Nothobranchius furzeri: one gene and its partner. Each later gene encodes a partner of the first gene's protein in a complex. Links are inferred from orthologs where the notes say so. Each region holds a gene or a part of one and is shown in the gene's direction. Other genes may lie near its edges.

Evidence for each region.
Region 2: the proteins of xrcc1 (region 1) and aplf are in contact, whole or in part, in a crystal structure (PDB 5W7X), measured with the Homo sapiens proteins. The link is inferred for Nothobranchius furzeri from reciprocal best matches to the Homo sapiens genes XRCC1 and APLF. Residues at the interface, in NP_006288.2 of Homo sapiens: Pro514, Tyr515, Ala516, Gly517, Ser518, Thr519, Asp520; in NP_775816.1 of Homo sapiens: Arg27, Gly28, Pro29, Gly32, Ile33, Thr34, Lys36, Arg37, Val38, Ser39, Arg40, Arg41, His58, Asn60.

Annotation. Positions count from the first base shown.
Region 1 is NC_091745.1:68,574,669-68,579,107, reverse strand, and holds the start of xrcc1 (DNA repair protein XRCC1), read left to right. Parts: upstream 1-1,410; 5' UTR 1,411-1,638; coding exon 1,639-1,689; intron 1,690-1,770; coding exon 1,771-1,863; intron 1,864-4,439. Other genes in the region: sialic acid-binding Ig-like lectin 5, read left to right, coding at 1-132. UniProt on the Homo sapiens protein: Scaffold protein involved in DNA single-strand break repair by mediating the assembly of DNA break repair protein complexes. Negatively regulates ADP-ribosyltransferase activity of PARP1 during base-excision repair in order to prevent excessive PARP1 activity.
Region 2 is NC_091746.1:29,723,793-29,727,497, forward strand, and holds part of aplf (aprataxin and PNK-like factor), read left to right. Parts: intron 1-1,543; exon of another isoform or gene 1,544-1,653; intron 1,654-1,726; 5' UTR 1,727-1,781; coding exon 1,782-1,874; intron 1,875-1,978; coding exon 1,979-2,047; intron 2,048-2,155; coding exon 2,156-2,316; intron 2,317-2,401; coding exon 2,402-2,540; intron 2,541-2,819; coding exon 2,820-2,931; intron 2,932-3,143; coding exon 3,144-3,307; intron 3,308-3,705. UniProt on the Homo sapiens protein: Histone chaperone involved in single-strand and double-strand DNA break repair.

The DNA of each region.
Region 1 (4,439 bases):
CGAAGAGGTGGGGAGAGAAAAAGAGGTAGAGAGGATGGACGTGTTGATAGACAAGGTGGTGTAGGGGTCAGAGCAACAAGGGAGGTGCAGGGTGCTGATCCAGAGACAGGCATCTACCTGGAGGTCCTCTGAACTGTTTCTTCTCATAAAATAATGATTAAAAATGGTTCCGAACTCCGGAGGATCAGTCATTCATGTTTCCCGCCACATGTTGCTGCAGCATTCACTGATTCAGATATCTGGAATCTTGTTGAGCTTAAGCACTCTTACAATTTTTGTTACGTCAGTAATTTTTCTTTTCAGCCCAAACGTTTTACTAGTCAGATGATCTTAAAGTTCAACTTCTGATTAAACTTTAGGACAACCGGTGTTATGATACTTTGCACCAATCCCACAGACTGGCTTTAACCCTTCTGATGATAAAGTGAAATTTTTCGTTTTATGGATGTTTTTTGTTTGTTTGTTTTTGCCCGTGATAATTAATTTGAGCATTAATAAAGTTGTTATTGAATATAAAACATTTTGAAATAAAGAATCACTGCTTTTATGTTTGGGCAGGAATGTAAAAACTGTGATTGTATTAACTTTTTTCCTCACAACTTTATTTTACAATAATCAAAAACATTTGGTGTTCTTTTATATCATTGTCCAAGAAAAAGCAAAATAAACAGCTTCAGTCGATAACTATTTTCAGATTTAGAACATTTTCAGTTAAGTATATATGACATATACTGAAAACAATTGATATGACAATAAAAGTGGGTTGTTATTATTAGCAAAAATATGAACAAAACAACAGAAATAATTTAAATTTAAAAGATTAAATACAATAAATAACTAATAGTACTACACAGTATTAAAATAACATTTTATATTTACATGCAGGCCCGAGCAGGGTCACGCGCGCGAACCGAACCAGTCAGTCAAACATCTCTTTGGCTTAGTAGCCAGCCAGGGCGCATATCAATCGGGACACTGTGACAGGACGCTCACACTGCCACACATTTAAATACTAAAATAATTCTGCCCTAAAATTTATAAAATAAAACACATTTTCAGGATATAAACAAAAGAAAAGTAAGTTAACATTTTTAAATCTTTAAAACTATTTATTAGTGATGTCTCAGTTCACAGTTCTCCCGTTTGGGGGCGCTCACGTGTGTAAAGTAATTATGGTAAAAGAAGAAGAAAAAGAAACGCTCTCATTGGACAGAAAATCGGTTGTTTGGAAGTTACGTCAGGTTGTCAAATGTGCAGCCTTTTGGTGGGAAAATGTGGACACCCTTTCGCTCGTTTTACGTTAAATTAAGCGTGTTAACACGAAAATTCAGTAGTTTACTTTGCTGACAAAGAAACGGGTATTTGTCAAGCATACAGCAGTGTAAACATTTTGTGCGCAGCAGTCATTTAAATACAACGAATTACCAAACGAATGAGGAAAAGTTCACTATCTATTGTTTGCTAGCATGCTATCAGCTTAGTCAACAGCTTGTTTAACGCAGACTAACGAGAGAAGTACAGCCACTAAACGAAATCTGGTTTCGTTTTATGTGTCTTGAACCTGATACGGATTCGCTAGATCTTTAAAGCGCTCGGTTGACGGTTTTTATGGTTAAGTAAGTTTGAACTTGTCAAAATATGCCAGAAATCCAACTGAAACATGTCGTGTCCTGCAGCTCAGAGGACAGTGTAAGTTTTTTTTTGTATCATGTAAAGTCGATGTTCAGCTGCTGTTGAGCTTCCACTAAACCCACTTTCAACATAAAACAGACGCATAAAGCAGACAATCTCCTGAGCTCAGACACCTACAGAAAGTGGAAAGCAGCAAGACCCGGAGAGAAACAGACATCAGTCATTCTGCAGGTTGGTTTTTGGCCCTTTTGATGTCAAATGTCGGTAGTTTGTTTTTATTTGCCCAGGTGACACTGAACAGAGATATTTAAATCAGGCTTTTATTTCAGTTGTAAATCCTAGAAAATGCTTAAATTATAGAATGATGTTTTTAGGGTTTTGAAAGAGATGGATCTTTAAGCATGCGTTTGAACTCAACTTTAATTGACATATCTGAATGTAGCACAATAACATTTTAAAGTCAAGTGATTTGAGCATGTTCATGTGCTGATCATTAAATTAGAATTTCATGAAAAAGGTAATTACTTTTAAAAGTGAAACTTGTATATTAGATGCATTCTTAACACACGGACTGATGTATTTCAAATGTTTATTTCTTCAATTTTGATGATTATAACTGACAACTAATGAAAATCCCAAATTCAGTATCTCAGGATATTAGAATATTGTGAAAATGTTCAATATTGAAGGCCCCCAGGTGCCACACTCTAATCAGCCAAAAAAAAAGAGCCTTTTAATGGTCTCAGTCTTGTTCTGTAAGCTACAGAACCATGGGGAATACTGCTAACTTGACAGTTATTCAAAAGATGACCATTGACATCTTCCACAAGGAGGGCAAGACACAAACGGTCATGATAAGGAGGCTGGTTGTTCACAGAGCTCTGTGTCCAAGCACATTAATAGAGAGACAAAAGGAAGGACAAGATGTGGTAGAAAAACTTGTAATAGCAATAGGGGTAACTGCACCCAGGAGAGAATTGTGAAACAAAACCCATTAAAAAATGTGGAGATTCACTAAGAGTGGACTGCAGCTGGAGTCAGTGCTTCAAGAACCACCCACACACAGACATATTCAAGAAATGGGCTTCAGCTGTCGCATTCCTTGTGTCAATCCACTTTTGAAGAAATGACCGCTTCAGAAGCGTCTTGCCTGGGTTAAAGACAAGGACTGGACTGCTGCTGAGTGATCCAAAGTTATGTTCCTTTGGAAATCAAGGTCCCAGAGTCTGGAGGAAGAGAGGAGAGAAACATAATCCGCATTGCTTGAGGTACAGTGTAAAGTTTCCACAGTCATTGATGGTTTGGGGTGCAGTGTCATCTGCTGATGTTGGTCCATTGTGTTTTCTGAGGTATAAGGTCTACGTAGCTGTCTACCAGGAAGTTTTAGAGCACTTCATGCTTCCTGCAGCTGACCAAATTTATGGAGATGCAGATTTAATTTTCCAACAGAACTTGGCACCTGCACACAGGGTCAGTGACCATGGTATTCCCGTTCTTGATTGACCAGGAAACTCACTTGAACACCTATGGGATATTGTGAAGAGGAGGATGCAATATCCTGGACTAGGCCTGGGCAATAAATCAATTGAATGAATTAATTCGAATTTTTTGTTGCGGGTGATTTAAAAAAAAAGTGTAATTTATGTAATAGCGCCTTTTTGGCCCTCCGGAACTTCCGTAGCATTAGTTTCACAGTTTATTTCTGCAGCGAGCCTTAAAAACTCACCTCACACCACCCAGAGTTTCTTCTTTAAAACGAACGTGCTTCCTGGGTGTTTGGTTGTAGGTTGAAAACTTTACATCAGTTGTCAAGGGGAAAGTTCAGCAGACGTGTTTGTTTACATTTTTGCTGCTGCGTGCCTGCAGTGTGAGAGAAGGGAGACAGGTGACGCTCCGTTCAGCATCTCTACAGACTCCAGAAGCAGCGACAGCCAGCTGGTTTGATCCGCTCTGAAAGGTGTTGGTCAGAATTTGCACATCGCCTTTTTTTTTACAGAGACTGGGCGCGTGCAGCCATCATGCGTCACTCAATTCAGTGTCCGTGCAGAAACTCATGTAGGAATTTTTATCCGCTGCACTTGAATCACACCAATAAATATTCATTATTTAACGGAAAAAATAAACCGAAACGATACGCAAGTGGACCGAACCGAAACGGTTTAACACTCCCTCGTGAACCGTTACACCCCTAGTCTTAATTGATATTCAAATTTTCTGCGATACTGAACTTTGGATTTTCATTAGTTGGCCGTTATAATCAACATTAAAGGTGCAGTATGTAAGAATATAGGGAGAATTTTACAGTGAGAAAATCCCAAAAGAGTAATGTTTCAGTCATTTTGGAAGGAAGATTATACTGAAACGTATTTCATATCCAGCTGGCTGTGGGGATTGTCAGCTTTTCTCATGTCTTAACAAAGGAAGGAGGAACGTGACTGCTGTTTACCATCAGTGAGTGTGGGGTTGCCGTGTCTCCTGTGAGCTAATACTGCTGCGCCGACAATTGTAATTTGACAACGGCCAGCAAAAAATCTCCAGAGTTGTTTAAAATGGTTGCGGTGCAGTAAACAAATATTACCACATTTTTACTTCATTTCTACATAATGCACCTTTAAAGAAATAAACATTTGAAATATATCGGGCTGTGTGTAATGAATGAATCTCGCATGCAAGTTTAACTTTTTGATTAAAATTAGTGAAAGAAACCAGCTTTGTTATGACATTGTAATTTTCTGACCAGCACCTGTAAGTATGCACTGATCATGAATCCCCAACAGTGTAAGCTGCTGTAAAATCGTAAAAATTCA
Region 2 (3,705 bases), on another chromosome or scaffold:
GTTGTAGTGACAAAACAGCCTTTTCACTCCCAAGTTGTTTAAAATGTACTGCAATACCATTTTAAGCCGGCAGATGGCGGTATCTGTCCCGATTGCAATGACAATATTGAGAAAACTAACAGTTTATCTCTTTTTATTCCACAATCCACATTGGTAGCAGTTGTCATAAATTATTTCAGAAATTGAGAACTGCTCTGGCGCTCTCCATCTGGCTCTGGTGCTCCCCTGCTTTTCCTGATTCTGTACCGGAGGCCGGTGACCCACCGCCGGTCTTCCACCCGGAAGTGTCTGTGGATCTTCCACTAGATCTGTCACGGATTCGTCTGGGGGAGCAACAAAAATGATGGAAAAAATAAATGCATTAACGCTTCTGATTGCATTACACTGTATATGCATGAAGTGACTGGGAAACGCATTTGTAAACCGCTTGAAATATTTCAAATATTTTCGGTGACAGCCTTGTTTGTTTTGATTTTGTTGATAAAGTAAAAAATAAAAACGTTGGCATGATGAGGCCGATGATGCAATAAGTGCTGCAATTACTGAGGTCACTACTACAGCCGCAGGTACCGTGGCAGCAGTGGTAGGAGGCGTGGCTAGTGCCACTAAAAGTCGTGGTAGGGGGAGTGGCTAGTGCCACTAAAAGTCGGAAGTGTAATGGCAGCAGTGGTAGGGGGCGTGGCTAGTGCCACTAACAGGCAAGAGCAGCAGTGGTAGGGGCGTGGCTAGTGCCACTAAAAGTCGTGGCACCACCCGGAAGTGTAATGGCAGCAGTGGTAGGGGGCGTGGCTAGTGCCACTAAAAGCCGCGGGTGCCACTAAAAGTCGTGGCACCACCCGGAAGTGTAATGGCAGCAGTGGTAGGGGGCGTGGCTAGTGCCACTAAAAGCCGCGGGTGCCACTAAAAGCCGTGGCACCACCCGGAAGTATCAGAGCTGCCACTGTAAGTGCCACAAGCGCTGCCGCTGCCACAAATCGCTCCTGCTGTCTCTCCGGTCGTTTGTACGGTTTGTACACACGTGACGTCATCACGTTTCGAGTAACTTGCGTATGCGTAGAATGCTCCTAGCTCCTACGTATGTGAATTTTGGAAGAAAAAAAACATTACATTTCGTTAAAAATATAAGTATAAATTACATAACCGAATTAAAACAAGTCAAAAACACAAATGATGCTAGCCGAGTTGTCAGAAGACTCACCCTCATTCATTTCCTTTCTAGTTTTTTTTCTTTCAAGTCTCCACTGGACTCCATTTAGAAATTAGCCCATTTTACAAAGATTCTAACAAATAGGAAATGATTACAGCAAACGTCACGAGTCAGTTTATTTCTCGAATTTCTCGTAATCAGGCTTTAGCTCGGTTACATGTAGCCTTCTATTTTGTTGTTTCATAAAACCACTAAAGGACAGAAGCAGAACCCTTATTTTTGAATCTGGAATTTACAAAAACAGAATTGAATATAATTATCTATTTCTGTGTAAAATGTGATGGTTAAAAACATAGACTGTACATACGGTTAAAAATAATGTGACGTTGAACGTAGTTTGGCTAATTTCCAAACTGCGCATGCTCAGGTTCATCCCGGAAGTTTTGAATCTGCAGCAGACAGTAGAGCCAGCGGCCCGTCCGCCCAAAGGAGAGCTCAGACATTAGGTCTGGATCATTTCTCTTAATCTTTCAGGTCCCGTTTTAACCTCGTTAATCCTCGTGTTCTGTCCCACCACAGTTGGACCGGAACCGTCGACGGACCGGAGGATTCTCCGGTCCCGTCTCCTCGCCACATGTCCGGATTCGAACTCGTCCCGGTTGAAGGCGGAGATCCAGTACACCTTTTGCCGGGTGAGACTGTGTTAGGCCGGGGTCCGTTACTGGGCGTGAGTACTCCAGTCTTTAGTCTGGCCGAGCCGGTTCTGATCCGTGTACCGATCCCTTCTTTGGGTTTTACAAGTCTGACCCATCCTGTTCTGCTGTTTCTCAGATCAGTGATACCAGAGTGTCGCGGAACCACGGGCTCCTGGAGAACCGGAACGGACTCAGACTCAAACCGGTACCTTTGGGTTTCTGCTAGTTTAGTTTATTTTTTCCAGCATTGCCACCTTGCGTTATTCTTCTGGCCAGTTTTACACACCCTGCTTCACTGCTGTATGACCTTTAGACCCACCTGAACCCGTGTTTCGTTCAGTCCTCGCTGGATGATGACCCTCGACCTCTGCAGAGAGGCTCCTGGCACCAGCTGCATCATGGAGACCTGTTCTCTCTGCTGCCGGGTCGACTGATCTTCAGGGTGGAGGCTGTTGAAGAGGAGCACACGCCCAGGTACTCCTGCTTGCTTTGAGGCTGATTTCAGATCAGGTGGAGCTTCACTCAGCTCTCACTACCGAAACATCCCTGTCCTCCACAGGAACAGTCAGAACTATGAAGATGAAGCTACCAGACCAGATGTGGAATCTTCTCCAGGTGTTGAACCGGAACAGAATCGAGCTTCACCTCAGCCAGCAGCTCAGAACGGGGGCGGGTCCAACCGTCTCAGCGTGAGACCGGTAAGATGAAAGGCCTTAAAATGCTGATCTGGTTTCTGGTTGTAGCCCGGAGATCTTTGATGGAGATGATAAGTAAAGACACAGGAAACGGGAGTCACGTGATCATATGGAGTAAGCAGGCTCCGCCTCCACAGCAGAGTCATTTTCATTAATCACCAAAGCTTTTAGATTAAATTATTTATTCACTGAAAAAAAAAGCTTAACAATTTATTTGATGATTATTTTTGGATTTGTTTCAGTAGATTTTTAGTTTTAATTCGCTGATGTTTTCCTCTTTAGGACAAACCGACCCAACAGGTGGCCGGAGCTCTGGAGGCTCCGTCTGCTCCCAGGAGGAGGGTTCTACCAGCATGGATGTCTGCAGCTGTCTCAGCCGGGAGTCTGTCCTCAGGTCTGAAAGGTTCAAGAGGGTTCTGATGTTCGAGGGTTCTATGGACAGTCTCAGTTAGAGAAACCAGGTCATGCAGAGGTCAGGGGTCAGAGGAGGTCAGGCTCAGCTCAGAGACAAACTTCGAGGTGGACGTTAAAGTTCTGATTTGAGTTCAGTGTTTGATCAAAAGCTGTTTCTGGGGTGATTTGTGGTTTCTTTCTTTGCTTGTTTAGTTCCGTCGCCTGTGAAGAAAAACAAACAAGCTGCTGCGCCGGCCACGCCCACTGTCACATCCTTACCAGATGGGGCGGAGCTCAGTGATGAGGAGGAGGAGGAGGAGGAGGAGCCAAGAAAAAGAAGAAAGATGAGCAAAGATGAAAAACATCAATCTGAAACAGTTGAGTTCTTCTGCTTAGAGATCCGGACCAGAACCTCCGGTCTGGAACGGGGGTTCTGGTTTGGGTTTCATGCTCAGTGTAAATCAAACCCAGCAGGACTTCTTCTCTTTCTGGAAGGGTTCCACCTCTCATCCTAAAGGATCTGAAATGTTCTGGAATATTAAGGCTCGGAAGAGATCTGAGCTCCCCCTGAATTCCGTACCCGTGTAGAACATCACGTTTTCTCTGCGTGTTTTTCTGTCCTCTGGTTGGTTTAAACGTCCTTTTGGTCTCCTGGATGATTGAAGGATCATCTCTTGTGTTCCCTTCTCCCATCATGAGGACATTTCGAGCTCCATGAGGTCTGGTGAAGGTCTGTGGTCCTCTTGGTGGTGAGATTCACATAGAAGATCCTGGT